Linked DNA regions of Ovis aries. The protein of the gene in region 2 interacts with the protein of the main gene of each other region in a pairwise test. Links are inferred from orthologs where the notes say so. Each region holds a gene or a part of one and is shown on either strand. Other genes may lie near its edges.

Evidence for each region.
Region 1: the proteins of CKM (region 2) and ASB9 interact in binary tests that used the Homo sapiens proteins (3 or more experiments, as listed by UniProt). The two-hybrid records come from large-scale screens. The link is inferred for Ovis aries from reciprocal best matches to the Homo sapiens genes CKM and ASB9.

Annotation. Positions count from the first base shown.
Region 1 is NC_056080.1:13,452,044-13,468,554, forward strand, and holds the start of ASB9 (ankyrin repeat and SOCS box protein 9), read right to left. Parts: upstream 9,401-16,511; 5' UTR 9,147-9,400; coding exon 9,071-9,146; intron 986-9,070; coding exon 906-985; intron 1-905. UniProt on the Homo sapiens protein: Substrate-recognition component of a cullin-5-RING E3 ubiquitin-protein ligase complex (ECS complex, also named CRL5 complex), which mediates the ubiquitination and subsequent proteasomal degradation of target proteins.
Region 2 is NC_056067.1:52,743,271-52,759,468, forward strand, and holds the start of CKM (creatine kinase M-type), read right to left. Parts: upstream 8,032-16,198; 5' UTR 7,978-8,031; exon of another isoform or gene 7,865-7,977; intron 5,806-7,864; 5' UTR 5,785-5,805; coding exon 5,592-5,784; intron 4,568-5,591; coding exon 4,413-4,567; intron 3,997-4,412; coding exon 3,864-3,996; intron 1,855-3,863; coding exon 1,683-1,854; intron 434-1,682; coding exon 310-433; intron 1-309. UniProt on the Homo sapiens protein: Reversibly catalyzes the transfer of phosphate between ATP and various phosphogens (e.g. creatine phosphate).

The DNA.
Region 1 (16,511 bases), on a different chromosome or scaffold from region 2:
ATGTATTTAAGACATTAGTCTGAGAAGGGGTCTTTAGATTTTGCCAGACTATCAAAGGGGTCCAGGAAAGGGCCAAGAGCTCCTAACTTAAAAGGTCTATATTGTCTCTTCAGAGGACAAACATTATGAACAAAAATTTATTGGAATTTTGAGTGGTGATTGAAACTACTTTTTAAAAAGCACCTTTGCTTAAGTTCCCAATAATTTCGAACCACCAAAATTCCAATTAATGTGTACTTAAGTATCCCATCGAAGGAGCAGAGAAACTAATATCAAACTGGCAGAGCCATTTCCACTGGAGATTCAATAGAATTGAACATTTCTTTGCTATTTTAAGATGACATATTTTAAAAGACATTTTCAAGCATTTATTTTATGTGAAGGGTCTTCAACCTCAGCACTACTCATACTGGGGGCTGGATAACTGTTGAATGTGGAGAGTCATCCTGTGCAGTGTCAGATGTTTAACTTCCTTGGTCTCCAGCTACTAGATGCCAACATCACCACCACCCCAACCCCATTCCCACTCCTGCTCCCAGCTATGACAACCAAAAATGTCTCCAGCCAATGTCAAATGTCTCCATCTGGGCAGAACTGCCCCAATTGAAAACCACTGCTTTACGTGATAATTTTCCAGGATAGTCTATGGAATAAAGTGACAGCAACTTGAATGCACTAATTTGCCCACTATTCGTTCAATAGAGTCTACAGAATCTACTTTGTGCATAAAATTGTACTAAACTCTAGTATTATGCCAGCCTCCAAACAAAGAAGGACAGCATTCATCTCATTCTGCTAAACAGGAAATTTACATCCTAAGATCAGACTATGACTTCTTTTCCTCAGTGCGGTGAGCCGTAGAACTTGCCTAATATTCATCATTTTTTCCCCCCAAAATTATCTACCTGGTTGATGAGGCTCCTCAAAGACAGCAGACGTCCATGAATGGCTGCTTCATGCACAGGAGACCAATCAGATACAGAATCTGTATGGAAAGGGAGGAAGAGGTTAGTTACATCCTGCTATCGCACTTTAGACTCAGAGGCTCATCCTTGCCCATCAATAAGAGCCTAACTGGTCTTACTGGAGGGAAACATTGGAGTCAAGCAACCAACCCCTTTCATCAGAACTTCAGCATTTCTCCCCTCTATGGATGTTTCTTGAATACAGCTTATTTGAAATGTCTAGCTAGCTAAGGAAATAACTATAGTCTGCTTTCAAACTGAAGACAAAGAGGTGGACTGGGATGACAGATTACTCTACTTCGATTTATACACTGGTTTCAAAGGCAAATGATCCATTTAGTTAAATGAGAGCTTCACTAATTAGCAGCATTAGTGCATTAAACTGTGTTTGCCAGCCTAGTTTCCTGCATGAAATACAAACTCTGGCACCTCAGCAAACAGTGCCATATACTAATAGCAGTAATCATGTCATTACATACGCCATTAGGCTTGGAATCAAATCTAAACAAAACCCTATCTATTTGTAGATTACCTCCTGTCCCAATATCAAGCACAAATCAGACTTCAGTCTGACCTTGCAAGAGGGATGTGATTTCCCCACAAAGGCAGTGTGCCAGCGTGATTAGGAGAAATCTGTGAATTCAGACCCACTTGACTTCTTCTGAGCTGAACCTAGGTCTGTGGAGCAGAACCTAGCTTCAGTTCCCTTCTCTGTAAAGTCAGGACAGCGATATACTTAACCTATGGCTCAACTTCTACTAGCTACTATTATTATCCCACCCTAACACTAATTAGAGGGTATTGATTATACCCCACAGTCACTGCTATTTAAAATAGCAGGGACCTCCCTGGTGGTCCAGTGGTTACAACTTCGCTTTTCCATGCATGGGGTACAGGTTCGGTCCCTGGTCGAGGAGATAACATCCTCCATGTCTTGTGGCCAAAACACCAAAACATGAAAAACAGAAGCAATACTGTAAACAAATTCAATAAAGACTTTAAAAATGGTCCACATTAGGGAAAAAAAAAAATCTTAAAAAAAATTAGCAAATGTATTCTCTAACTATACGCAAAGAATACACTATCTTAGGAAAGAAGCCTGTAAAATGCACCTCAACACACTAAATGCTTCCCCCTCTTTCTCGTTGACTGGATGTGCCCTGAATTTGGCATAGACCTGAATTTTTCTCATCTCCAGCTGCATCTGGCTTCTAGAACAAAGGCAGGAAGTCAGAGCATGAGGCGGCTAGTCTGCGCTTGCCACAGCTCAGGCTCTGCCTGATTGAGCAAACACACGGCACACCAGCAAGGTAGGGTGGTCTGACATCAGTCACACTTTGTGAATGGGCTGTATCTCCTAAAAGTCCGAAGACCTGGAGAAGCAAGGCAGTTACTAAAGCCTGGCCAACGCCAGCCCATCGAGGAGGAGGCTAGAACACTTTGGACTTAACATGTTGGCTGACGTAGGCCTGCCACCTGGAGCTATCAGTGTCCTGGAAAATCTGTCCCAGTGAGCACATTACCATTCTTCCAGATGGATTGACAAGGCTCTTAATAGAGAAGAGCAAGCTGAATGAACCTGCTTCCACACCATGCATCCAAGGCTTCCCTTCTGGGCTCATCATTGTGCCCAAGGTCAGGGAAATGACTTTCCCTAACTTCCAAAAACTCATGCTCGGTAGAAAATTAGAGTCCTTGCACCATTCTCTGAGGGTCCTAATGCTCTCAGGAGAAACACTACTGCTTCCAGGGCTTGGCGTCTACAGTGCAGATGGCAGATACCGAAAGACTGATCCCCAAATTAGAATTAAAAGGATAACTCATTCTACCCTGTTGGTTCAAAGGCAAAATACCATCCATACACACTGTTGAGTGAGAAGAGCCACAAGCTGAGAAAGATCTCAAAAATCAGTTGGATCACCATGTTTCTGAGGATTACGCCAATTTTTTTCCTTCCCAGTTCTCAGCTGCTAAGAAATATCACTGCCACACTCCTCAACCTTTCTTAAAATTAACTCAGATAATCAGAGTTGACAGCCAGACAGGTAATTTGGGTCCTAAACTGTAACTCTGTTTAGATTTCATGAAAGTGATGCAATTATCTTATCAGGAGTAGACCAAAATGGGCTTTACTTGTTTGCATTCATCACGGAAGCATGACTCCTTTTACTTAGGGTAAATAAAGAATTATGTACTTGAAGAAGTACATAAAAAAAGAAAAAGAAAAAAGTACATTAAAAAAAAAGACTACTTGAGGTTTTGTACCCATGCATTAGCACATAGTATTATTGGGTTGGCCATAAAATTTGTTCTGGTTTTTCCATACATCACAAAAAAAACACAAACGAACTTTCTGGCCAACCCAATATTTACAAAGTGGAGACTATCTGTGTCTTCAAGAAGCACAGGGTATTGTCCAGCTTTGATGATTTATCACTCACATATACCCCTTTCAAATACACAATTCAGTGGTTTTCAGTAGATTTCAGAGTTGTACATCTATCATCATAATTTTAGAACATTTCCAATATCCCAAAAAGAAACCCCTTGCCCAGCAGCAGTCACTTCCCCCAACCCCTCGCAACCATTGATCTACTTTCTTTCTCTATGGATGTGGGGGTTTTTTTGGACTTTTCACACAAATGGAATCATGCAACCTGTGGTCCTTTGTGAATGTTTCAAGGTCCATGCACATTGGAGTATGTATCAGCACTTCATCCTTTTTTATGGCCAAATAATATTTGTATAGATAGATAGACCAAAAAGCTCATAGACATTTGTGTTGCTTCCACTTCTTGGCTGTTACTAATAATTCTGCTCTAAACCTTCATGTACTAATTTTTGAGTGGATATATGTTTTCAATTCTCTTGGATAGACACCCAGGAATGGAATTGCTATATAATGTGGTAACCCAGTGTTTAGCCTTTTGAGAAACTGCCAGACTACTTTCCAAAGCAGCTGCACCACGCTATACTACCAACAGCAGTACATGAGATTCCCTTCCTAAGTTAAAGTCCTTTCAGACTAGGATTAGGTGAATCTACCAGAGCATGCCAGTACTCCAGGCCAGAAGCAAACTTTAGGTTCTTGTATAGGTCATCTCAAACATATACAAAGACTTGAGCCTCAGCTGGTCTCTCAACACTTGATTATCTACAGAGTTAAAATTGTGAAAGGTTGACATTTTTCTAGCATTGAGAGCATGGACTTTATGCATAGTTCATTTAGCAAATGCTCTAATTTGAAACATGGATTGGTCTAACACTCTCTTTAGCTCTTAAAAACACTGATGAGATATCCAGGAGCTGTTTCCAGAGCCCACATCACAAGCAGGCAATGAGCTACAAGCTTAACACATGAGCAATTAAACCCCAAAGCAGCTTTGCCCGCCTTCCTGCTGACAACTGGGAGAGAGTAGAATAAGCAGGAAAGGGGACTATTCCTGCCAGAACACGGATGCTGCTCACAGGAGGTGGCTATGGATGGAAGGAAAACTCAAAGTCACATTCCCTTTTCCACTGACCCCTGGAAACTCAAGGGCTATTATATCTATACAATACATCATTTAAGTGCTCGGTATATATTAAGAATTTTTCCCCAGTCCTTTATCAGCTAAGAACTGTTGGTTTTACTGCCAAGAAATAGATGCCAAATGGGGTCACTGGCAATGCCACAGATTCACTAGTGTAGCTCGTGGTTGACATGAGGCAAGGAGCTCTCCTCATGAAACAATGCCACAAGTCCTCCAATTAGTGCTATTCAACTTACCTTTCTTTTAAATTGAGTCTCCATCAAACCCTGCAGCACATTAGCAAAGCTGCCATTTCATCTTTATTGCCATTTCTGGAATGATTTTTAAAATTTCCATTATTCAGAAGAGATTGGAAATGTACTAATTAGTACATTCTGAAAAGAGCTATTATTCATGAAGCTCTGAAAGCCTGCAGTGAATGCTGGGAAGAGTATCCACTGTTCCTCCTGGGAAACATTTTGCAAGGGCAAGGAGGGGAAGAAGGGCTGCGTTGCTCAGAGACAGTGGGAGCACATGCCTTCAGTAGGTTCAGTGGTGAGTACCAACACTGGGGAGGATCTGGGTGTTGTGTTGACAGTGACTGTGGACCTCGGTTAGATGGCAGGACAAATCAAAACAGGACAAAGAAACAGAGGCTCACAGTCACAAAGAGACAAAGGCCCAACAAGGCAACTCTCGGGCACATCAGTCCTGTCTACTGCAAATCTTTCTCCCAGTTCCATCACCCTGCCTCTCCTGTCTGCGTCTCTCTCTCCAGGGGCCTCTTCCATAGAGACCTCACCCCCTCAACCCATCCTGTCGGATCAGGCAAGTTTCCCCCAGAAAAATGGCCCCTGTTGAGGTGGCCCAACAGCTAAAAATCCACCCTAAGAGAAGAAGTCCTTCCTCGCCTCTTCTAGCCTCTGGTGTGGGGTGTCCGTCTTTGCTTTCTTGGCTCATCAGATGCATCTTTACAACCTCTGGCTCTGCTGCCACAAGGCTTCATCCCTCTCTGCCTCCTCTGCTCTTCTTCCAGGGACCAGTCATGGGGAGGGCCTTCCTCCTCCACTGTGACCGCGCCTTAACTGATTACACCTGCGATGACTCTGTTTCTAACCAGGTCGCAACCTGAGGTCCGGGGGGTTAGGACTTCAGCTTATGTTTTGGGGAGGGACACAATGTGATCAAAAACAAGGTATTTTCAGGGGAAAAGAAGGACATTCTATTCCCACTCCTGGGGCAGAAGGGTCAAGAATTCCATCTCTATAAATATTTTGTTGCCATCTGTGTATCCCTTCCTCCCTTCCTCCAGAGGCAGCAGCCAAGAAAAGCCTGCCAGTGCAGGTGGGAGCAGCAAAGCTCCCCAAGGGCAACCACACCCCACTGACCTCTTGCCCTGGTCCAGTGCCAGGGGATTTGCTTCACCTGAGTTGAGTTTCTCATCAAGGCCTGGAAACAACATTCTGAGTGTTTCACATTCCACACTTCACCAAGGTCAAGGCTTTCAAAGCATAAATAAATGCAATCCAGCTATCAGTGAAATTCTGCCCAAGGGGCAGGGCTGATGCACAGTAGGGAGAGCGAGCCTCCACTTGGGTAAGGGCTGGGAGAAAGTCTGGGAGGGCTTTGTGAGGGCAGTGGCTTCGAAGGGGCAGTAGTCTGTGGGTCAGATGTAGAGAAGGAGGAATTGGGCAAGCAGAGGGGTCCTGGCGCCCACCCTTGTGACTACTGCCTCTTGGGAAACTTCTCTTCCTTTAGTCCCTGTGAAATGACAACATCTGAGTCTCTTCCGGAGAAGGCAATGGCACCCCACTCCAGTACTCTTGCCTGGAAAATCCCATGGACAGAGGAGCCTGGTAGGCTGCAGTCCATGGGGTCGCTACTAGTCGGAAACAACTGAGCGACTTCACTTTCCCTTTTCACTTTCATGCACTGGAGAAGGAAATGGCAACCCACTCCAGTGTTCTTGCCTGGAGAATCCCAGGAACTGGGGAGCCTGCTGGGCCGCCGTCTATAGGATCGCACAGAGTCGGACACGACTGAAGCGACTTAGCAGTAGCAGCGGCAGAGTCTCTTCCTGCCTCTCTATCCAATTTACTGGTTCTCCGTCCTCAAATGGAAGTCTGTCCCAGGGCTCCACCCTTGGACTGAGCCATCAGACAATGTCTCCTTCTCCAGGATTTCAGCCCAGCCCCTCTGCAGAACAGCCTGAGGCCTGATTCCCAACCTGAATTCATTGCCCAGCCTCTGTCCCGCACCTTCATGCTGAGCCCAGGGCACAGCCATTGGCACATTCACGTTCAAACACAAGTCCTTCTCCTCCCTATCTCACTCTGATCCCCAGGCCAGCTCCCCTTCACGACTTTTCTCTCATCCAGCCCTCTGAGCTGACATTACCCTCGGCTTTGAAAACGTTGCACTTCTGGCTGCCTTCTCTCCTTTGTGCTCTGCTTAGTCGCTCTGTCGTGTCCTATCCTTTGCAAGCTCATGAACTGTAGCCCTCCAGGCTCCTCTGACCATGGGATTCTCCAGGCCAGAATACTGGAGCAGGTTGCCATGCCGTCCTCCACAGGATCTTCCCAATCTGGGAATCGAACCCAGGTCTCCTGCTTTGCAGGCGGATTCTTTACCATGTGAGCCACTAGGAAAGCCCAAGAATATTACAGTGGGTAGCCTAGCCCTTCTCCAGGGGATTCTTCCCAGGAATCGAACTGGGGTCTCTGCATGGCAGGTGGATTCTTTACCAGCTGAGCTAATCAAGCAACAGAGCTTGATTTCTCTTTCCTCTGAAAATACAAGCCATATTTTCCCTTTCTCTGTCATTTCTGAAGCTTGATCCAGATATCAGCTTCACGCAGTGGTTCTCAAGGTATTGTCCCCAAACAGCACCATCAGCATTACCCGGGAGCTTGTTATACAGATTTCCAGGCCCCACCCCAGACCTAGTATCTGAGGTGATGGAGCCCAGCCATCAGCATTTTAACAATCCATCCAGGTGATACTGATGTATACGAGTTTAGTACAATAATTTCTCATAAATTCTCCACAATCTATCCTGACTATGGCTACCACATTAACTTACTTACAGTCTTTATTATGGCTAAGCTTCCACTCCAGAACCATCAATGGCTCCCAGTTCCCTGCCTCATGAAGGCTAAACTCATCCACCTAGCTTCTGAAGCTACATTTTGAGATTTCATCTCTCCAGTGTTCTCATTAGACTCCTTAAGACACTGCAGTCCAGCTGTGACAGCGCCTGCCCACCTACACCCACCCAGCCAGCCCCAACCAGGGTTGGATTAGGACCTTTATTTATTTATATTTTTGGCCACAGTGGCACAGCACGCAGGATCTTAGTTCCCCAACCAGGGATCGAACCTATGCCCCCTGCAGTGGAAGCATGGAGTCCTAACCACTGAACTGCCAGGGAATTCCTGGATTAGAACCTTTAGAAACCCTGAACAGTGAAAAGTGGCTAGTGCCCCTCTCTCAGGTAGAAATGAAAATAAACTCAGCTGTAAAATCATCATGCAGAAGTCAACCACATTACTGATTCTTCCCCATGTTGATTGGTTTGCTGCTTTAAAAATATATTTATCAACCCCATTTTAAAAGTTATTTATGGTGCTACTCTGCTTTCTACTGCTCCAAGTTCACGCTCAGTATCTCTGATTAATCCAGGTCTGCCTTGGGAGATCCAAATTCTACTTGCTGTTGAGGACTCTGCTCCTTTTATGAGGCCAAAGTGGATACACAAACAACTAACCTGAACAGTCCTGTCTGCTCCATGAGCCAGAGGGAACAATTTTGTATTTCTTTGTGTGTGTGTTTTCCCCTTCAGCACCTAAGCAGTAGGAGAGTAGCCAGTCCTAGCTGATGTTAGGGTCCCTGCTTTTTGTCCCTTTGACCAGCAAGTGTTCTGGGCAGCCTCCCAGGGTGCTGAATATAATCATATAATCAGCCTCCTCTAATGTCTAGACCCATTTTCCAGAATCCTTTCAGTCAGCAGGTACCTGCTGAGTGCTCACAGGAAATGACAGTTTCCCAGAGGTACAGGACTCTATGCATTAACAAAGACACCATGAGACAGGGGAGAATCAACCTCTAAAACACTGCTCCAAAGGTTAAAAAAAAAAAAAGGCTCCTTTTAAAGTGAATCAATCAGGGCTCAATTTCTGAACATCATTTATAAACCCAGCCCCACCCAAATGCCACATACCTAAGACCTTTTAATAAATGTTTTAGCAGTGAAGATATTCCTTCCTATTTAGAAGTGACTTTCAAACCTCCAATGGAATATCAATGATATATTTGACCCACAAAAAATAACTTTACAGCTGACATTTCTCCTGGGGAATAAACTGTGATCAGTGGCTTGACATGGTCCATAGCACTCTGCAGAGAGAGGTGTACACATTCTGGAACAACCATGTGAAGGGCAGATACCAGCAAGTCATGGACATCTGTCCAGTAACTACCCCGTGGCCACATTTCAGATGAAGCCACTGAAATCACCCCACCCTCGTCTCTCTTCTCTCCTAAGCACATTAACAGACCTCCCCAGCAGGCTGACAACACAGCCCCTAAACTCACCCCCCATCAATGGGTTGAAAAAGAGCCTCATGTCCGGGGGCTTGCTGCCGTTTCTGCCTGGTGGTTCACCATCCATGGTGCTCTCCTGGGCTGGTCAAGCTCCACACTCCACTTCAGCTGTTCAGGAAAGTCCAAATTCCATGCACCCCCGGCTCCTGGGAAATTCCAGGGCTGTGAGTGGCTGAGCGGCACCCTCCTGGTCAGATGGCAGAGAACAGGACAGGCAGGGTAATCTGAGTACTACCTGTGGTCAAACAGGCACATGCACACGGGGACACACACACACACACGCACACACGCACGTTTTACCTCACAGGCTGGAGACTGCCCAAAGCCCACAACAGCCCCCCAGCCTAAAGTCTGCAAAGTTGCTGATGTCACGTCCTTTCCAAAACTGAGACCAATCAGTGAGGAAGCCTTGAGGTTTATCAGGAAGGAAACTCACAGTCTGTAACTTTGGGAGAGCCCAGGGAACAGGGTGGGGGGAGGAGACCGCTAGCCTGCTGCAACATTGTTTGCCTGCTGGATCCACTTGTTGTTTGGGGGTTTCTTGCTGTTGAGACAAGCCCCAGAACCCAGGAGCTGAGAGAGCTGGTTTTGCTGCAGCCCTGCTGAATTGCTTGCACAGCAACTTACACAGCACGCCCTGACCATCTGCACATGTGGTTTCAATTTTTCTGGGAGTTTATGGGAAAATGTGTCTATATGTTACAAAAATGCACGTTTGGAAAGAACCTCTAGTTTCTACCTTCTGACTGCACGGGTTGCACGAAGTGTCCTGCTCACCCTCCTCCACACATTATATTTTAACTTCTAAATAAATAATTCAGGGTTGCTATTGGGGGAAAAATGGATTGCTGGGCAGCAAGGGGGCCTGGAGGTGAGCTGCTATCTTTCAATGATTAGTTATAAAAAGTTTTACTGTGTGAAGTTTTCCCCGTTTGCCTTTACAAAACATTTGGGGTTTTGTCCGTGTCCTTTCAAATACACCCAGCTTCCCCATACCCTTGGGTGCTGGCTCAGGCTGATGGCCACCCCTGGATTCCCATTCCCTCTCCAAGTAGAAAGGGACTTTCCTTCCCCATTCGGGAAGGCTCTGGGTTAGTCTCAAGCATAGTCTGCTTGTGCAGTGATCACCAATTATTTTTAATGTCAAAGATACAGCCTTACTGTTTCAGATTCACCAAGCCTCAGTTGACCGATGTGGGAGCCACTGTTTACAGTGTGAGGAATGTCCTGCATATTTTAAAATGCATTTTCCTGCATACATGGGGATACACATTTATTGCTGTACCTTTTCCACATGATTGTAATTATATTAACACAAACACTTTTTATACTTATTTTGTCTTAGGGATCTTTTCATTTCAGCAGAATAACTCAATGGCTCTGTCCTTTTCTTTATTCACTACAGCAGAGCATTCCTTAAGTATTTCACACCAAAAATATTTCATTATTCCCCTAATGATGGAGGCAGAGTGTTACCATTTTCTTTTACTACTGCAAAAATACTGCACTTCATATATTTCTACATATGGCTTCATGCACATATTGAAACTGAGTCCCCCTTAAACTCTGTTCCCCAAGTTTATGATTAACCTCTCTATTTGAAAGTATATTCCCTTTCTTGTCCTGAACCTGTGCCCCTCAAGACAGAGGACTATTAAAGAAAAAGGGGGAACTGGAGCCCAACACAAGCCTCTGTGTCCCTGTTTTTAAGTAAAAGGCTTTTTGCTTTACTTTCCCAGGCCTCCCCAACATGAATTAGCAAGTAGCAAAGGTGAAGACTAGAAACAAAGAGTAGCTGTTAGGCTGGGGAAATGGTAACAATTTAGACTATAAATCTGCCACATAGCAAACTAACTGAACTCTCAGTTCCCTAAAAGATACAAAGGGCTGACACACATGCATAAGCTGTTTTTACAGGAAGCAGACCACCCAGATGAAAACTGATGACCACAAGCACGTAGACCTCAGACTGGTCAAAACCCAAAGGTTGATGATGCTTGAAACGTCATCATGATGCCAACCAATCCAAGAACTGTGCGCAAGCTCATCACACAACCTGCAGCTCCCTCACTCACACTGCCTTTATAACCCCTCCCCTGAAGGCCATTGGAGAGTTTGGGTCATTTGAGCATGAGCTGCCCATTCTCCTTGCTTGGTATTCTGTAATAAATGCTATATGTTCCTTCGTCACAACGCAGTGTCAATAGACTTTACCACACTGAGTGGACCCAAATTTGGCTCAGTGACAATATGCAATTATTTCCAGAGGCGAGATTCCTAAGAGTGTGCTCATACACATGTGATCTTTTCTACAGAACTAAAACACACAGGAGTGGGTACAAGTCAAACGAGAATCCCGAATGAGATCAATGGATGGTCTCAATGTTAACTTCCTGGTTGTGATATTGTACTACAGTTTTGCACAAAGTTATCATTGGGGGAAACTGGGCCAAGCTATAGGAGCCCTTTCTGTATTATTTCTGGAAAATGCATATGAATCTACAATTATTAATCAGTTCACTTAAAATTTAAATACTGCCAAATTGCCACTCACCTAGATCCAGACATCCTGGAAAATGAAGTCAAGTGGGCCTTAGAAAGCATCACTACGAACAAACCTAGTGGAGGTGATGGAATTCCAATGGAGCTATTTCAAATCCTGAAAGATGATGCTGAGAAAGTGCTGCACTCAATATGTCAGCAAATTTGGAAAACTCAGCAGTGGCCACAGGACTGGAAAAGGTCAGTTTTCATTCCAATCCCAAAGAAAGGCAATGCCAAAGAATGTTCAAACTAACTGCACAATTGCACTCATCTCACATGCTAGTAAAGTAATGCTCAAAATTCTCCAAGCCAGGCTTCAGCAATACGTGAACAGTGAACTTCCAAATGTTCAAGCTGGTTTTAGAAAAGGCAGAGGAACCAGAGATCAAATTGCCAACATCTGCTGGATCATGGAAAAAGCAAGAGAATTCCAGAAAAAACATCTATTTTTGCTTTATTGACTATGCCAAAGCCTTTGACTGTGTGGCTCATAACAAACTGGACAATTCTCAAAGAGATGGGAATACCAGACCACCTGACCTGACTCTTGAGAAACCTGTTTGCAAGTCAGGAAGCAACAGTTAGAACTGGACATGGAACTACAGAGTGGTTCCAAATAGGAAAAGGAGTACGTCAAGGCTGTATATTGTCACCCTGCTTATTTAACTTATATGCAGAGTACCTCATGCAAAATGCTGGGCTGGATGAAGCACAAGCTGGAATCAAGATTGCTGGGAGAAATATTATCAATAACCTCAGATATGTGGATGACACCACCCTATGGCAGAAAGTGAAGAAGAACCAAAGAGCTTCTTGATGAAAGTGAAAGAGGAGAGTGAAAAAGTTGGCTTAAAGCTCAACATTCAGAAAACTAAGATCATAGCATCCGGTCCCATCACTTCATGGCAAGCAGATGGGGAAACAGTGGCTGACTTTTTTTTGTGGGGGGGAGGGGCTCCAAAATCACTGCAGATGGTGATTGCAGCCATGAAATTAAAAGACACTTACTCCTTAGAAGGAAAATTGTGACCAACCTAGACAGCATATTAGAAAGCAGAGACATTACTTCATCAACAACGGTAAGTCTAGTCAAGGCTATGGTTTTTCCAGTGGTCATGTATGGATGTGAGAGTTGGACTATAAAGAAAGCTGAGCACCGAAGAATTGGTACTTTTGAACTGTGGTGTTGGAGAAGACTCTTGAGAGTCCCTTGGACCGCAAGGAGATCCAATCAGTCCATCCTAAAGGAGATCAGTCCTGGATGTTCATTGGAAGGACTGATGTTGAAGCTGAAACTCCAATACTTAGGCCACCTGATGCAAAGAGCTGACTCATTGGATAAGCCCCTGACGCTAGGAAAGATTTGAGGGCAGGAGAAGGGGATGACAGAGGATGAGATGGCTGGATGGCATCACGGACTCAATGGACATGAGTCTGAGTGAACTCCGGGAGTTGGTGATGGACAGGGAAGCCTGGCGTGCTGCTGTTTATGGGGTCGCAAAGAGTTGGACACAATTGAACTACTGAACCAAACTGAACTGAAATTGCCCTCCAGCTCTATTTGTAGAATTAACTGAGAATGCCATAAGCATATATACATTGATCACTATTGTATCAGGAAAGATCTGAAGAAAAATGAACCTTGTATTTGGCAAAGGGAGAAATTTACTCCCAATGTAGACTGGCTGTCAAGGAGTTAAACAGTGCAGCAGGAGAGCTGGAAAGCATCCGATTCTCTGAGCAAAATCTTCATAGTAAAGCTTCTTTATTTACTTTTCATTAAATTCCAAGAAGATAAGGTTTCTCTGTGTTCAAAGTTAACTTGATTGTCCAAAACGACAATAAAGAAGATTTGAAGGTTGTTGCCTTAGCATCTGGGAAGGAATTAATCACCATTTTATCTTCTCATAATGCTGATCAACACCTGTGGACACTGGAAGATGGGAACTGTTTGTTGTTTTGTTTTTAAACTATTTAACAACAGTTCTAGTCAGGAATTAGAAAAATATTACGAGGGAAGTTGATGTATTTTTAAGGATCCACATGTGGATAAAGTTGAACTACATGTATATGAGCTTTCATTAAAGAGAAACAGCTTGGCTTACAAGAAGCTGCAAGAGCAAAACAATCTACCAGATTTGAGTTGGTCTCTGTGTCTGTCTGCATGTTCAGGAAACTCAGCCCAGCTTAGGTAAGAAAAAAGAATTATGGCCTGTATCAGCAGTAAGGCCATAATCATTCTTTATCAAACGCAGACTTAATATTGGCCACTGACTCTGCCCCACCCCTCACCTATAGATCTGTGGCTGACATCACTCATGGGATTCCAAGACTCCTCCTGACACCTTGGGGAGACTTGGAAGTCACCTTCAATCAGTCAAAGTCGGCCCCAGAGCTGAAACCTCTTGTCATTCCAGCCGGCAAGTTTTCAAGTACAAAACCTTTAAAGCCTAAAAGGTGCATCTCTCCTCTGGTCATTCAGAGTGATCTGCTTTTCCTGAAAAAAGTCCTGTCTTAGTTGTGCCCGCCTAATTGGCTCTGCACACTGAGCTGGCTGCTTTTGTTACTTTAGAAAGCTGTCACTCAAGGGAACCCTCCTACACTGTTGGTGGGAATGCAAACTAGTACAGCCACTATGGAGAACAGTATGGAGATTCCTTAAAAAATTGCAAATAGAACTACCTTATGACCCAGCAATCCCACTGCTGGGCATACACACCGAGGAAACCAGAATTGAAAGAGACACATGTACCCCAATGTTCATCGCAGCACTGTTTATAATAGCCAGGACATGGAAACAACCTAGATGTCCATCAGCAGATGAATGGATAAGAAAGCTGTGGTACATATACACAATGGAGTATTACTCAGCCATGAAAAAGAATTCATTTGAATCAGTTCTGATGAGATGGATGAAACTGGAGCCGATTATACAGAGTGAAGTAAGCCAGAAAGAAAAACACCAATACAGTATACTAACACATATATATGGAATTTAGGAAGATGGCAATGACGACCCTGTATGCAAGACAGGGAAAGAGACACAGATGTGTATAACGGACTTTTGGACTCAGAGGGAGAGGGAGAGGGTGGGATGATTTGGGAGAATGACATTCTAACATGTATACTATCATGTGAATTGAATCGCCAGTCTATGTCTGACGCAGGATGCAGCATGCTTGGGGCTGGTGCATGGGGATGACCCAGAAAGATGTTATGGGGAGGGAGGTGGGAGGGGGGTTCATGTTTGGGAATGCATGTAAGAATTAAAGATTTTAAAATTTAAAAAATAAAAAACTAAAAAAAAAAAAAAGAAAAAGAAAGCTGTCACTCAATCTTACTTCATAGATCAGTGCAGTAAGATTCAAACAAGGATGTGTTTTTTTGAAAATCTGGCATAATGCAGTATTCTTGAGCAAACAATCGGGCAAATCAAAACTGAGAGTCTTCATAACAATGAGGTTGAACTCTTCAAAAATGCCAGTGGGGTGGCATAAAACCCAGAAGTGGTGGGGGAGGCTTTCTAAACGACAGGAGAATGAAGAGACTTGATCAGTAAATGTGATGATCCTTGATTGGATCCTGATTAGGGAGGATAAGGCATAAAAGACATCAGTGCTACAACTACAGAAATTTAAATATAGATGTATATCAGATACTCCAAGTGCATCAATGTCAAGCTTCCTGCGTGTGATCACTGCACCGCCCACGCTTATGTCAAAGAAGCTGTGTTCTTAGGACATGCTTACTTGAAGTACTCAGTGCAGAGCCTTGTGGAAGCGTGATCCAAGGGGAGAAACGTGTGTCCCTATGTACATATTTTGCACAAAATAGAAACACTTGGGACTTCCTTGGTGGTCCAGTAGTTAAGACTCTGTCCTCCCAATGTAGGGAGCCCAAGTTTGATTTCTGGTCAGGGAATGAAGATCCCACATGCCACAACTAAAACCTGGGGCAGCCTAATAATTTTTTTTTTTAAAGAAAAAGTAGTATATGTAAAGTCAGCACTGCCCATTCTGTTCACAAGCCACTGTCATTCCTCATAAACCCAGCAGCCCCATGTCCCAGGACCTTGGGCTGATTGGGAACATTGCTTTCATTACACTGTTATGCAGGTTTGTAAAACAAACCACAGCCTGTCTTTCTTAAAATGTTTTGATATTTTGGTCATTGGGGACGTTTTTCCCTTAACATTTGAATTTTGTTAATACTGCACGATTTTTCTCCTGATAACATTTTTCGGTGCCCCCTTAAATTTTTTGCCTCACTCACCTCCTCCTAATCAGCCCTGGTGAAGAATTATAAAACTCACAGTTTACTCACAAAGGGTTCATTTAAAAAAAAATGTGTATAGGTATTCAATATTCATGGGCCTACTTATATATGTGTGTATACACACATTCATACAAATATGTATATATATATATACACATATACATACATATGTTCATATATACGTACAAAAAGGCATAAGCAAATGTGGCAAATCTTATCAACTGACAAAGTGAAGTGATAGATGGACAAATATTCATTGTATTATTCTTGCAAGTTTTTTGCAAGTTGAAAGATTTTCAAGACATAACGATGGCAGGAGAGGAAATTAATTAATGAAAACTAAAATGTAGTATATCATTTTCTACAGGTTACACTCATGTTAAAAGATGAAGCTGCTATTGTGACCGTGACCCTGTCTGACCCCTGCCTTCGTCCTGGTACAGACTCGGCTAAAGAAAGATGATGTACTGATATTTCACATGCAAATGTCCATGCAAGTAGCCCCTGGCAAGAATTTGGGATTGGAGTAAATGAGAGGTCCTCCAGTGCACGGAGTGCCCTTCCCTGACAATGATTCAGCCTTCACCATGACAACTTCAGGCACTGTCTCTGA
Region 2 (16,198 bases):
GACTCCGAGAGGGCGGGTCTGGAAAACCTGGAGACACGAGATTCTTGGGGCAGGGGCCCGACCGCACAAGTGATGGCTGGATTCTGACGGGGCTGGGCTTGAGGATGCCTTGAAGGCCGGTTCTTGTCCGCGGGGCTTGAGGATAGGGGTGGGGCCGGTTTTCCAAAGGGCGGGGCTTTGGAAAGCGAGGGAGGAGCACCGCTGAGGGGAGTGGCTTCGGTGCGGGGAGGAGCCGGGTTCCGAGGGGCGGGGCCCGGGAAAGCGGCTGGGGGGGCGGTCACTTGGAGTCACACGAGGGCGGGCACCCACCTTCTGCAGCCCCACGCAGAAGCGGCGGAAAACCTCCTTCATGTTGCCCCCCTTCTCCATGGAGATGACTCGGAGGTGGTCCTCCTCGTTCACCCACACCAGGAAGCTCTTGTTGTCATTGTGCCTAGCATCGGGCGCAGCAAAAGGTCAGGGAACCAGCTCCGCGGGAACCCGGTTCCCCTCCCTCTTGCAAACACACGGCCACCGCTAGGGGGCAGCGGGCCTAAAGGGCCCGAGGCCTGAGCATCTCAGTCTCAGGAGCTTACACCTTTAAATGTCACAGGACCCGTGAAATCTTGAATCGTGGGATCAGTGGCTTTCAGGGTCTTAATTCTTTGCACAATATTATAGAATCTTAGAATATCAGAATCGCTGAAAAACGGAAACCGAGAATCAGAGTTGATAAACCTTCCATGACATTGTGGCATCGCAGAAGGAGTCTTAGACTGGAAAACTTTAGGATCTGGAAATGTTTGAAACCATTGAATCACAAAATCTGACATTAGTGGAACCTGAAAACACTTAAAATTTTACAACCTATACTCTCCAAATTGTTTGAAACCGAGGTTCTCAAAACCTTTTAAAACCTTTGACTATCAGAATGAAGGCGGGGGCATTTTCCCTGATAGGTCAGTTGGTAAAGAATACGCCTGCAATGCAAGAGACCCAGGTTAGATTCCTGGGTCGGGAGGATCCTCTGGAGAAGGGATAGGCTACCCACTCCAGTATTCCTGGGCTTCCCTTGTGGCTCAGCTGGTAAAGAATCCGCCTACAATGTGGGAGACCTGGGGTTCTGTCCCTGGGTTGGGAAGATCCCCTGGAGAAGGGAAAAGCTACCCACTCTAGTAGTCTGGCCTGGAGAATTCCAGTCCATAGGGTCACAAAGAGTGGACACGAATGAGGAACTTTCACTTTCATCAGAATCAGGGATTAAAAAATTACTAGAAAGCCCAGCTAACAACAATAATTAGCAATAAATATCATGCCAATGGCCAGTATGGATACTTACTATATACCAGACACTTTTCTCAACACTTTGCATAAATTAGTTCATTAATCCTCATAAGAACCCCAAGAGCTATGGATTATCACGATCCCATTTTATAGATGGAGATTTGGGGCAGAGAAACATTAAATTACGTGCCCAAGATCACACAGCTAGTAAATGGCAGCCCTGGGATTTGAACCTAAGGAGTCTGGTTCAAATCTGAATTTCAAGCTTTTTAAAATGTGACATGCAGACCACAGGGAAGGCAGGAGCGGAGGGCAAGATGACCCTGGAGAATTGCTGTAGTGGTCTTGACTCTGGTGGAGGGTTGTGGGACGACTAGAGGAGGCGGGGCAGAAGGGGGGCATGGGGCAAGGGGCCTCACCAGATACCGCGGGCATCAGGCCAGTCTCGGGCCATTCCTGAAGCCAGCAGCAGCGGGGACACGGGCTTGTCGAACAGGAAGTGGTCATCGATGAGCTGCTGCTGCTCCTGCTCCGTCATGCTCTTCAGAGGGTAGTATTTCCCCTTGAACTCGCCCGTCAGGCTGTTGAGGGCTGGTGAGGGGCCACAGGAAGGAGGGGTCAACAGCCTGCCCTACAAGGGGGGTGCACAGGCCCTGGGGACCCCACACTGCTGTCCCTCGGGGGCCTAGGCCTTGACCCTGCAGAGGTTCTAAAGGTGTCTAACCACCCCCAAAAAAAAACATGCTCCTCCGCCGTCTGCCCAGGCCGGGGAGCACCCACACTGTGTGCTCAAGACCAAAAGCATGGACTCTCCCTTGCCTGCCACCAGTTCTCACGTCCAGTCAGACTATCTGCAGGCGGCAGTGTGCTGCTGCTCACTCCTCCTGGCTGGTAGGGACAGAGTCAGTCTCAGGCATCTGGGAGCCATCAGTGAACAATATTATAGTATATATAGTATTTGTATATATTCATAGGTATTCATAATACAAAGTATGTATTAAGTGTTGGAGAAGGAAATGGCAACCCACTCCAGTATTCTTGCTGGTAAAATCTCATGGACAGAGAAGCCTGGAAGGCTACACCATGGGTTTGCAGAGTCAGGCATGACTGAGGAGTTGAGCATACACACACACATGTATATTATATATATAATAAATATATAATACATATATGCATTTGTATATATTCATATCGTCATAAGACATGACAAATATGTGTATAATGTATTTCTATAATACACATATTTTTAAATATGTTGTACATATTTGTATAATATCCTATATAATATGTTCTATATCATATACTACATACTATATTGTTAAAAATAAATTACAAAAACAAATAAATAAACTATATTGGGTCAGCCAAAAAAATTGAGTTTTCCTATAACATCTTTCAGAATGAACTTTTTGGCCAATCCAGTGTTTGAAATGAAGGTAGTGAGTACTCAGAACTATCACTTGCCAATTACTTTACTACACTTACTGTTTTCTATGTTCTTGAAGTCACCTGTTGTATCTTCATGGTGGAAATTCTACATAATGACATGCTGCTGCACATCTCCCCCCATTGCCCATCCCTGTATGATGTCTCGTGGTTGGCTTAAAATTGGCCTCTGTAGGAGAATTTACACCAGAGAAATTGGCAGTTGCTGGCAGCAAATCAAGGCTGCTGCTGCTTTTTTTTTTTTTAGAGCCAATTGTTAAATATTTAGCAGAATGACACTGCCTGCCAGCCCTAATGCTTCTACCTCCAAACACACCCATTCTTTCTCCCCATCCCACTGCTCCCCTCACTCCCCAGCCCCGCGTGGACCCCTGCAGTTGCCCTTCTCAGCCTCTCCTACCGCTGCCCACCGACTGTTCCCCACCAGGGGGATCCATGTAAGTCTGAGCATGTCCCTTCTCTACTCACCACTCTCCCACAGTGTCCTCTTCCCACAGGGTCAAAGCCAGAGTCCTCCCAGCAGCCCACAAAGCTCTGGACAACCTGGCTATCCCAACACCCCTCTGGCCTCACTTCCTCCCCTCTCCCCATCACCCACTCAGCTCCAGCAACACTGGTCTCCTTGCTATTCCTCCAACATACCATCCCACCCCAGGACCTTTGCACTTGCTGTTCACCTGCCTAGATTTCTTCCCAAGGTTGGCTCCTTCTTGTCAATCATGTCTCAACTCCTTTCCAGCATAGCTACCCACAGTCATTCTGTGCCAAAACCCTTGTTTCTTGGCTTCAGGGCATTTGGGGAGGATGTATTCTTTTGTTGGTTCCAGTGTTTCCTCTTATCTCCCCACCAGGCTGACAGCTCTGCGAGAGCAGTGACCTTGGTCCATCTTATTCACCATGGGGACCCCAGCTCCCCACACAGGGCCAGAACAACCGTAAATGTTTGCTTGGTGGATAGGTGGATGGATGAATAGATGGATGAAGGTCAGGACCCTGGCGCAGTTGGGTGTCAAATCTTGACAGCATCCCTTAGACCTCCCCCAGGGGTAATACTGCCAGCTGTCACTCACCAAGCACCTGTGATTATCAAGTTCTTGCAGTGTTTTGGCAAATGGGGGCACAAGGGGGTCCAGACCTGGGGTGGGGGCTCTCACCTTCCACGGAGAGTTTCTCCACGGCCCGGCGCTCGCCGCGGGAGCAGTGAGGGGGCAGTGCATAGCCCTTGATGCTGCGGCCCGTGCGGACACGGCTGCTGAGCACGTAGTGGGGGTCCAGATCGTCTCCACCCTAGGGAACAGCGGGGAGTCAGGGCTTGGTGGACCATCCTGTGTGCCCTGCCCCCTGCCCACCAAAATCAAATCTCCCCCACAGGCCCTCCCAGCTCTCTTGGGCTCTCAGCTGCTTCCTTTGGCTCTTCCTCCCCACTGGCCTCTCTCCCCCTCCCTCCCCGGCTCTGTCTCTCTTTTCTCTCTTCCCCCCATCTTTATCTCCCTCTCCATCTCTGTGTCTGTTTCTCCCTTGACTCCCTGTATGTTTTCCACCTGCTTTCCTCTCTCTCTCTCCCCCAACCTTGGCCATCTTCTGTGTCTGCCTGTCCGTCTTTCTTCCCATCCCCCTCTGTGTTTCTCTCCATGTCTGTCTCCCTGTCTCTCTGGGTGTCTCCTCCCCCCACCCCGCCCCGCCCTTCCCCTGGGGCAGCCGACCTTGAGGTTCTCATGGTTGAGATCAGTCTTGTGCTTGTCGGTGGGTTTGAAGCCCCCGTGCCGGTCCTGGATGATGGGGTCAAAGAGGTCCTTGAAAACCGTATAGGACTCCTCATCACCAGCCACACAGCCCACGGTCATGATGAAGGGGTGACCTGGGGGGTCAAAGGGAGGTCAGAGGTGCTTGTCACCCTCGGGGAAGACCTGGGCTCCTGGGTCCAGTGTAGACTGTGTGTGCACACGTGGGTGTGTGTGTGCGTGTGTGCGTGTGTGCAAGGGATTTCACTGAGCACCGTGGGCCAGAACTGAGGAGGCTGAGGGTGGGTAGGAATGGGGAGAGGAGACTGGGGGAGATCGAGGCGGTATCTGGGGGTGGGCGGTGAGAGGAATGTTGAGTGCAGGGCAAAGGAGAAAGGAGAGTCTGGGGGGCGAGTTACTAAAAATATTACCACGCGTGAATCCCCACATCAAGGGATCGTCCCCTAAAAAAGTTCAGAGCCTTAGATACTCTTAACCCCCACCAATAAGAAGAGGCTTGAAAGACTCTTGGGCTTCCCTGATGGTCCAGTGGTTAAGACTCAACACTCCCAATGCAGAGGGCCAGGGTTCAATCCCTGGTTGGAGAACTAAGATCCTGCATGCCTTGTGGCCAAAAAACAAAACAAAACAAAACACCTCATTTCTCAAGTAGGGAAACAGAGGCTTGAAGAGAAAGGGCCTTTTCCCTCAGTCATGAGTTGGAGGCTGAGGCCAGAAGCTGGTCTCCTGCCCAGTTCCACCCGCCCTGGTGGGGTGTTCCTGGAGAAGGAACCCCCTGTCAGAGTCAGAGTGCCCACTCGGTGCCAGGAGCCACTCCACATGCCTATGTTTTCCCAACCTGGGTGCCCATTTTTCAGGTGAGGAAACTGAGGCCTGAGGAAACTGAGCTTCCCTCAGGGGAGTCTCACGTGATAGTTGCACATATTTAGCAAGTGGTTTGCCACCTGCCAGACCCTGTCCCAGGCCCTCACACATTCAACTCATCTGTTTCTCACAGCAGCCCCATGAGTATGGTCCCCACTTTACAGATGGGAAAACTGAGGCTCAGGGAGGTGGGACTGAGGCCTGGCAGGCAGCCTCCAGGCCACCCACACACACACCGGCCTCACAGTCCCTGGGACGCTCCCCCAGGAGGTTTACCTGGGTTGTCCACACCTGTCTGGATGACATCATCCAGAGTGAAGCCAGATGGCGTCTCCTTGTCCCGCAGCTTCTTGTAAATCTCGAGGGTCAGCGCCTTGGCCATGTGGTTGTTGTGCTTGCTGAGGTCTGGGTATTCCTCCTCAGCCTTGAAGTTCAGCTTGTGCTTGTTGTGGGTGTTACCGAACGGCATGGTGGCGGTGGTGTGGGGGGCCTAGTGGGGAGGGGTGGAGGGGGGAGTTAGGTCACATCCACGGAGACCAGCAAGAGAGCAGAGCCAGGCTCTGGGTCAGGCAGGCCTGAGAGCCAGTCCTGAGTCTTGGGCTGTGTGACTTGGACCCAGAGGGATCCCTTCTCTGAGCCCCTGCATCTCAACAGGATGTATCATCAGTCTGGGGTTGGGATCTTAGCTCTGCCTTATCCTGCTGGTGACCCTAGGCTAATAGCATTGCTACAGCCTCACTTTCTCCAGCTGGAAAAATGGAGGAGAGAACCCCTCAAGCCTGTGATAAGATATGATAACTGATAGATAAGAGTATAGGTTCTAGAATCAGGCAGCCTGGCTTTGAATCCCAGCTCTGCTGTGTGACCTTGGGCAAGTTACTTAACCTCTCTGTGCCTCAAAGTAATCACCTGTAAAATGCGGGTAGAATAGCACTCGTCTCATGGAGGTGCTGGAAGGATGTGATGAGTTCATTACGTAAAGCACTTAAAATAGTGCCCGACACACACTAATTATTTTGCTAGCTATTGTTATTATTGTTGTTTTGAATTACAAGGAGCTGGTGAGGGTGGAGGCTGTTGCTGGGAATGAGTGTGCGAGCAGAGAAGCGCCGTTCTCTCTATGAAGATTCCTGGGTGCTCAGTCGAGGGAGGAGGGGCAGGGTGCCTGCCCCCACCTCTGTGTGCTGACAACTGTCCTGCAGGGCACAGTTAGTAACAGCTCAGCCTCTGAGGTCGACAGAGCTGGGTTCAAATCTCACCCATGCCATCTCTGGGCTGTGTGACCCTAGGTCAACTGCTCAGTCTTTCTGAGCCTCTGTCTTCTGTGAACTGAACTTTTCCCCTGGGGTTTCCAGGAGGATTCTTTGAATCCAGCACAAAGCCAGTTGAGCACAGGCCCTGGCATGGAGCTGGGGCCTTGTAAAGAACCTGCCTGCCAATGCAGGAGGTGTAAGAGATGAGAGTTCAGTCCTTGGATCAGGAAGATCTCCTGGCGGAGGAAATGGCAACCCCTTCCAGTACTCTTGCCTGGAGAATCCCTTGGACAGAAGAGCCTGGTCTGCTAACAGTCCAGAGCGCCACAAAGAGTCTGAAGCAACTAGCACGCACACACCTAGAAGGGTGGTTGCTGTACTGTTGTTATTTTATTCACAAGACCCAGGAAGAGGGAGGACCCTTTAGCGGTGGTGGTAGGGATGAGATGTTCATTCCCAGCTCCAGGAATGGGAAGTGGGCAGGACGGTGGGAAGGAGATGGGCACGAGGGTGAGCTGAAAGCCGAGGCATCAGGCCAAGAGGGATGGAACCCACGAAAGCCTTTGGAGTTGATGTTCAGGGTGGGGATTTATTTTTAGAATCTGGCAGACTCCTCTCCCCCACCCCCAGCTGCCACCCCACCCTCACATTCCAGGGGCTCGGCTTGCACCACGTCAGCAGGCCAGAGACAGGTGGTCCAGGGTGGCTGGGAGCACATGCATTCAGGCTTTGGGGCTCAAGGGCTTTCAGCCCAGAAAGCCCCCTTCAGAGCATGTCCCCACCCCCATCCCTCCTGGGGGCAGGCCGGGAGAGGGCAGGGAAGCAAGGTCGGGGAGCCCAAGAAACACCAACAGACGTAACCCAGAGCTCCTCCTGCACACACCCGCACGCACCCCCAGGTAGCACGGTAAATGGGCCCACATGTGCACACCTCCCAGCTCAGGGACACTGGCATACAGGGACTCATGCAGGAGCCACAGAAAGCCAGACAGACACAAGGTCACGCTGTGCAGAAGGCAATGGGACCACAAGGTCACTAAGGCAAAGACCCTGACAGGTGATACACAGACACCTCCCACGGCTTACGGCACCCAGTTCTGGCGACAGACCATCGTGAACAAGGCCTGGCCCGCAGCCCCTTGCAGGGGGGCGACAGCTGGCCACTGTCAAGGCTCCTTTCCATCCTGGGGTCTCCCCCCAGGATGCGTGCCCCAGCCATCACAGGCATGGCCGGGAGTCAGGGGCTGTAGGTGGAGGGGACCCTCGGACATAAGGACCACCTTGCCACACACTGACCTGCCTGTGCACGGGGGCATGTGGGGGGCAACATGCAAGTCCCCTTCCAGAGACAGCTCGACCTCTGGCTCCTATGGAAGACACCCCATTCTGGACCCTACCCCGGGCAGTACCTGGCTGGGCGGTGCTGGAAGGGGCTGTCTGTATCCCGGAGGCGACACTGACCCAGAGGAAGGTCCTGCAGCCCTGGCCTTATATAGGGGGGGCCTGAGCTGTGTGATTGGCTGGGAGGGGCTGCCCCTTGGGAGCGGGCTGGAGGGCAGCTGAGCTCTTCACCTCACTGCCCAGGCATCGTGCCCACCCCGAACCCAGGCATGCCTCGCGCCCAGCCCTATGGCCTTGTATGGGCCGCGCCAGGGTCTGGGCCCATATCCCCCCCGCAACCAAGCTGGTCCCCCGACCAAGTGCTGAGTCGGGCTGGCGGGGACAGCTGGAGCCCCGCCGGGGCCACGGGATAGTGTCAGGAAATGTCCCAGGCACGTAGAAGTCACCCTCCCCTGGCCCTCCGCTAGGCCACTGGCCTCCCCTGAGCCCCCAGTGGCCTTGACCCCAGCACACAGCAGGTCCTGAGCTCTGTCCCTGGGGAAGCCTTGCAATGGCCCCTGGAGGTCAGGTCTTTGGTTTTCCTGCAGAGGAAAGGGCCCAGAGAGGCTGTGTGACTTGCCTGCTGTCACCCAGCTACAGGCAGTGTGTGACCAAGGCCAAGGTGGGAACAGGGGACGGCCTGACCCCAGAACCCTGTGCTGGGATGCACTTTCCTCCTCGGAAGTGCAGGGGAGGGAAACTGAGGCTGGGCCGAGCTAGGGCGGTTCTTACTCAAGGCCAGGTTGAAGGTGGTGGTCACCCTTTCCACTCCAATCGACCAGCCCAGTGACCCAGGGAGATTTCTGCTGTGGAGGGGACAGAGAGGGACAGCCTGCCAGGAAGGGAGTTTATTTTTAGAGCTCACTGCTCGCGATCTCCTCTGGGAGACCCGAGGTGCTGGGGCTGGGGGGGCATGGGGGCAGGTGTTGGTGGGGTGAGGTCGCCACGTGTCCGGGTTAATTATAACCCAGCGTCTCGGGTGTCCCTTGGCCTCGCCTCCTTACAAGGGCAGCCGAGAGCTCGGGGAGGCCAACCCCAGCCACGGCAGAAGGGGGCTGGGTGGCAGCTCAGGTCAGGGACGCGCTCAGATCCAGGCTCGATCAGGGACCGCAAGGGCTGAGGAGGAGATCCTGCAGAAATGGGATGTCACAGAGGGAACGGCGTCTTCGGCCTAGAAGGCACCAAGACTGCAGGATGCAAGGATCGGGCAAGTCCAGGGAGCACCCAGCATTGAAACAAAGAAGAGAATGTTCCTTTCCCTCTGGAGTTCCTCCCTCCTCCTGGGTCTCCCCCGCTTCTTCCTAGGCAGGGAGCACTGATCTAGAGAAAGGGGGGCCCTTTCTGCCTCTCCCAATGTTCCTGGTGGTAGGGGGGCTATTTAGAAAGCTTTTCTCCTTGGGGCCTAGTCCGTGATCGCTCCCCTCACTGTCCTGTCCCAGCAAGGTCAGTGTGTCAAAGCACTCCTTCATAGTTACAGAAACTGAGGCCCAGAGAATGAAAAGGAACTGGTCTAGAGTCGTTACGGCATGTATCATGTCAACAATTATTTATTAAGCACTTACTGGGACCCAGCAGAAGATAACCCAAACCCCTGTCCTTATGGAGTTAATATTTTAGTGAGGGTGAACAAGTTGTTATACATTTTAATGTTGGGGACAATGGGGCTTTGAAGGAAAGAGACAGAGGGTAAAAATGCAAGTGACGGGACACAGTGGAGGAGATCAGGTCAGGCCTCTCTGGGGAGGTGACATCCAGGCAGAGCCCAGAGGGAGCCAGCTATGTGGGTGTCTGGAAGGGGGACAGCAGGTGCAAAGACCCTGAGGTGGGGGTGGCTTGGCATGTCAGAGAGACGGGGAGGAGGCTGGAGCAGATGGAGGGGAGAATGGGAGGAAGAATGTGAGGTTGGAGGGGGACCAGGAGCAGACCTGTAGGGTCCTAGGGCTCCGATGGGAGTCCCTGAGGGTTATGAGCAAAGGAGAGACAGGATCCAGCCACGTCACACACAGCCCAGCCCCCGGGGCCCCTAATAACCCCTTGTGTGCACATCTGACATTCCTCTTGGTAACACAGCAGCCGAAGTCCTTTCTATATTGAGGGAGTTCTCCACCCTTTGACCACCTCCTTTGGAGAAGCCCAAATAGTAGAAACTCAGTTTCCCAGAATCCTTTGCCGCAATGGTTCGCTCATGTGACGTGTTCTGAGCCAATCAAACCCTCCAGCAGGACCTTGCAGTCATGTGACCTAAGCTGAGCCAATCAAACCCTCCAGCAGGACCTAGCTGTCATTAGCCCTACCTCCTTTATCTTGAGTCCCGCAGAAACAGTTGGCCTTGGGGTTGGCCTTGGGGAGCACTGTGACCCTTATCGTATAGCTTCCTCCCACCCCTTGAGCCCCTCAAGTCTCCAAGGCTTGTCCCTCCCCCACCCCATACCTCAGGACTTTCACATTCCCTCCTGCCCTAGCCTCCTCGCTGGTCTCCTGACCCAGTCTTGGCCCCTCCACCGACTTCCCTGCTGACCTTTCCTGCTCCGAACCTGTCATGGCTCCCCAATGCTCGCAGGAGAAATGAGTGTTTGTTGACTAAGTAAAAAATAGCCTTATCAATCAATAGGAAACCCCTCCGGCCAGCTTAGGCATAAACGGCTTTCCTACCAAATGCTTACAAAATTGTTACAAGGGCTGAAGGAACACCTCTTGCTCTCAGAACTATGCTTCCTCCGGGAAACTGGACATGCTAGAAGGAGGTTAGCGTGGAGGTTAAATGGCCTCTCCACTTTCTGGGAAAGACTGAGGGTAGGAGGAGAAGGGGGCTGTAGAGGATGAGATGGTTGGGTGGCATCACCTACTCGATGGACGTGAGTTTGAGCAAACTAAGAGATAATGAAGGACAGGGAAGCCTGGCGTGCTGCAGTCCGTGGGGGTCACAAAGAGTCGGACACAACTTAGCGACTGAATAACAGTTAACTCTCGGAGCACTCCTACATGTCGAGTACTAGGCTAACTGCTTGACATTTACTAACTCATTTACCATTCTGAGCCTTACCAACAATAAGGCTCAGAGAGGTTAACTGACTTGTCCAAGGTTGCACAGCTGGGAAAGAGCAGAGCTGGGAATCCAACTGGCACAGGGCTGCTGAAAGTAGGTTCAGTGTTTGGCGAAGATAATTTCCAGACTTCTCGGCAAGGTGAGACTATATCATCAGCCCCAGAGTCCCTTCCTAGGTCTTCAGGCCCACATCCCCTTGCCCACTTCATCACCTTAGCAGTCTGACTTCAGGTTTCAATCACTGTATGTGTATTAACCAGTTTTAGTTTTCCAACAGTACTATGAGGTAGGTCCTGAAAATTTTACACAGCAGGAAAGTGAAGTCAGAGAGTCTGAGTTACTTGCCCAAAATCACCCAGCTGGAAAGTAGCAGAAGCAGACTGGATGAGTTAGTCACTCCCTTCCTCATTTTACCTCTTTATGCTGAAGCCTTATTTTATAGAGAGTGGATGCTGAGGCTGCAAAAGGGCCAGGGATTGCAGATTTTCTTGCAGTATTCTCAGGAGGCAGAAGGTACAAGGGCGCTTTATGGGTTCTCTCTTATAAAGGCACTAATCCCATGCATGAGAGCTCCACCCTCATGATCTAATCACATCATACTAATACCAAAGTGAGTGAAGTTGCTCAGTCATGTCCGACTCTTTGCGACCCCGTGGACTGTAGCCTACCAGGCTCCTCCATCCATAGGATTCTCCAGGCAAGAATACTGGAGTGGGCTGCCATTTCCTTCTCCAGGGGATCTCCCCAACCCAGGGATGGAACCCGGGTCTCCCGCATTGGAGGCAGACACTTTAACCTCTGAGCCACCAGGGAAGCCTAAAGGCCCCACCTATTAATACTATCACCTTTGAAGGTTAGGATTTCAACATATGAGAAAATACGTTAAAATCATAGTTGTTTGTTGTTGTTTAGTCGCTAAGTCGTATCTGACTCTTTTGTGACCCCATGGACTTTAGCCCATCAGGCTCCTCTGTCCATGGGATTCTCCAGGCAAGAATGCTGGAGTGGGTTGCCATTTCCTCCTCCAAGGGATCTTCCAGACCCAGGGATCAAGCCCGGGTCTCCTGCATTGGCAAGCGGATTCTCTACCACTGAGGCACTAGGGAAGCCCTTGGATCATAGCACCAAGGATATTGCTAAAGTGAAAGTGTTAGTCACTCAGCTGTGTCTGACTCTATGCAACCCCATAGACTTTAACCCCATGGACTGTAGTCCACCAGGCTCCTCTGTCCATGGAATTCTCCAGGCAAGAACACTGGAGTAGGCAGCTATTCCCTTCTCCAGGGGAGCTTCTTGACCCAGGGATCAAGCCAGGGTCTCCTGGATTGAAGGCATATTCTTTACCATCTGAATCACAAGGGAAGCCACCTAAGTGAGGACAATTCTATAACCTATTACCACAAAAATACAGTGAAACACATCACCCCAAAATGCAGGAGCTTAAAAGCGGATGTAGGGCTGGCTGAGAGTTGGTTGTTTTGGGCTGGGTGAGACTGGGAAGCTTTGTTTTATACCATTATGTTAAAAATGGGACAACAGGCTCAAAATGCTGGGTCATGTCATAAAATCAAGACTTAATGACAGTTGTGGCTCTCCCGGAGACTGAATCTTAAACCAGCCATTCAGATCAGCTCTAGTTGGGTAATCTGCCCAGATAGGTGCCTGCTGTCCCTAAAGGAAAGTGACCTCACCATAACCAGTCTGCTTTTTTGCCTGCTTTGTTGTTCCAGGAACTTTCTTGTTCCTGCTCCCTTCCTCCTATAAGAGTCTTCCGTTTTGTTTAGTTCCTCGAAGCTCCTTTCTGTCTGCTAGATTGGGTGCTGCTTGATTTGAATGGATTTTAAGTAAACGCAATAAAATGTTAACATGCCTCAGTGTATCTTTTAACAATATGGAGATGTTGTGGTAAGAGGGAACACACAGGGGCTGTGTCATGCCTCCATTGGGATGCAAGAGGGAATCTTCAAAGCCCCTGAGATCTAAGCTCAGAACTGGGAGGACTGTCACTTGTGCCCCTCTGCGATTGGCCAAAGCAAGTCACCACACCCAAAGTCAAAGCCATCATTACCCTCCAGGGGTCAGGTTTTTCTCATTTGCGTTTTTCTTAAATGGTCACTCACGCTCAGTCACACACAATTCATTTCTGTGGACTAGCTCAGGAGGATATTAGAAACTGGTAATCATGTCTGCCAAAATCACTGCAGATGGTGATTGCAGCCTTGAAATTAAGACACTTACTCCTTGGAAGGAAAGTCATGACCAATCTAGACAGCATATTAAAATGAAGAAACATTACTTTGCCAACAAAGGTCTGTCTCGTCAAGGCTATGGTTTTCCAATAGTCATGTATGGATGTAAGAGTTGGACTATAAGAAAGCTGAGAGCCGAAGAATTAATGCTTTTGAACTGTGGTGTTGGAGAAGACTCCTGAGACTCCTGGACTGCAAGGAGATCCAACAAGTCCATCCTAAAGGAGATCAGTCCTGAGTGTTCATTGGAAGGACTGCTGTTGAAGCTGAAATGCCAATACTTTGGCCACCTGATGCGAAGAGCTGACTCATTTGAAAAGACCCTGACACTAGGAAAGATTGAGGGCAGGCAGAGAAGGGGACGACAGCGGATGAGATGGTTGGATGGCATCACCAACTCAATGGAGATGAGTTTGGGTAAACTCTGGGAGTTGGTGATGGACTGGGAGGCCTGGCGTGCTGTGGTCCATGGGGTCTCGAAGAGTCGGACAAGACTGAGTGACTGAACTAAACCAAATCATGTCTGCTTCTTGGAAGAGTATCTGGGGATCAAGGAGAGACAAAGACCAACTTTTCATTCTGTAATCTTTTGTTATCTCTGAGCATCCTTCTGACACCACTTTTTTTTAAATTTTTATTTATTTATTTGGCTGCATTGGGTTTTTGTTGTGTCATGCATGATTTTTCATCGCAGTGCAAGGATTCTAGTTGTCTCACACGGGCTCAGTAGTTGTGATGAGTAGGCTTGGTTGCCTTTTAAAGGGATTACTCATTAATCCCCACATCAGCCTCACAAAATAGGTTACCCTTGTGAGTCCATTTCTACAGACCAGGACCGTGAGGGCCAGAGAGCTTGGCTCCTGGCTCAGGGATTGTACAGCCAACAAATGACGGAGCAGGGATGTGCCTTAAACCATCTGACTCGGTGCACTGGTTTGGGGTGAGCGTGTGGCAGTTCCAGAAACAGTGACCAGTGTCCTGAGGCCAGAACAATCGGGGACAAAGCCTCAGCTGCCCTCTTCCACCCTGTTCCCTAGACGTACCTGGAGAAGTAAGAGCGTGAGTTTGAGTTTGATTTTCCATCAGTCAGTCAACAGCCATTGTCAGTGCCTTCTCTGTGCTCAGGCTGTGCTGGGGAATGTGCCTTGGCTTTGTCAGTCCTTCTGGTGTTCCAGCGAGGGAGAGAGACATGTGATGACCTAGAGTGGGCAGGGTTGGAATGTGGGAGCCTAGACGGTCGCAGGAGCCCAGGAAGGTCGTATCCTCCAGCGAGAGGTTCCTGCAGGCGGGAGCATCTGCACTGAGGCTCCGAGAATAGGGGAGTGGTGCCATAGTCTGGTGCCTAGTCCACGGGACAGCAGCGCCCTCTGCTGGATATATACTATAGTGCAGTGATACTATAGTATCACTGGGATACTGCAGGGTTTGGCAAAGCAGGCGATCATGCTAAAATCCTGTGAGCCTATCTTTGGCCAATTTATGTTTCTAGGACTTGATTTATTGAGTAAGTCACTCAACAGGTATTTATTGAGCACCTACTTTGCACCACCTTGTTCTGTTGCTAAAGATAACATGCTTACAACACAAAGCCCTGCCTTCAGGGAGCTGGCATTCTAAGGTTGTTGTTCAGTAGCTCAGTCATGTCCGACTCTTTGAACTGCAGCACGCCAGGCTTCCCTGTCCTTCACCATCTTCCAGAGGTTGCTCAGATTCATGTCCATTGAGTCAGTGATGTCATCCAAACATCTCATCCTCTGTCTTCCCCTTCTTCTCCTTCCTGCCCTCAATCTTTTGCAACATCAGGGTCTTTTCTAATGAGTCAGCTTTTCGAATCAGGTGGCCAAAGTACTGGAGCTTCAGCTTCAGCATCAGCCCTTCCAATGAATATTCAGGACTGATTTCCTTTAGGATTGACTGCTTGGATATCCTTGCAGTCCAAGGGACCCACAAGAGTCTTCTCAAACACCACAGTTCAAAAGCGTCAATTCTTCAATGCTCAGCCTTATTGTCCAACTCTCACATCTATACATGACTACTGGAAAAACCATACCTTTGAGTGTATGGACATTTGTTGGCAATGTTTCTGCTTTTTAATACGCTGTCTAGACTGGTCATAGCTTTTCTTCCAAGGAGCAAGCATGTTTTAAATTTCATGGCTGCAGTCAAGATCTGCAGTGATTTTGGAGCCCAAGAAAGTAAATCTGTCACTGTTTCCATTGTTTCCCCATCTAGTCACCATGAAGTAATGGGACCAGATGCCATGTTCTTAGTTTTTTAAATGTTGAATTTTAAGCCAGTTTTTTTTTTTTTTACTCTCCTCTTTCACTATTGTCAAGAGGCTTTTTAGTTCCTCTTCGTTTTCTACCATAAGGGTGGTGTCATCTGTGTATCTGAGGTTATTGATATTTCTCCTGGCAATCTTGATTCCAGCTTGTGCTTCATCTAGCCCAGGATTTTGCATGATGTACTCTGCATACAAGTTAAATAAGCAGGGTGACAATATACAGCCTTGATGTACACCTTTCCCTGGGGGAGAACAATAATGCATCTGTGCTGAGTTGCTTCAGTTGTGTCTGACTCTTTGTGACCCAAAGGACTGTAGCCTGCCAGACTTCTGTGTCCATGGGATTCTCCAGGCAAGAATACTGGAGTGGACTGCCATGCCCTCCTCTAGGGGATCTTCCCAAACCAGGGATCGCACTCGCATCTCTTATATCTCCTGCATAGGCAGGTGGTTTTTCTTTTTTTAGCTCCGCTTGGAAAGCCGAACCAATAATATAACACCACAAAATCAGCAGCTAATATTTGCTAAATGCTTCCAATCCATATATTAAGGCATTCAGTCCTCACAGCTTTTGACTAATCCATTAGAGATCAGGGAAACGGAGACAGAGAGGTTAAGTTACTGTCCAAAGCCTGCACAGCCAGTAAATGGTGAAACATGATGTGAACTCA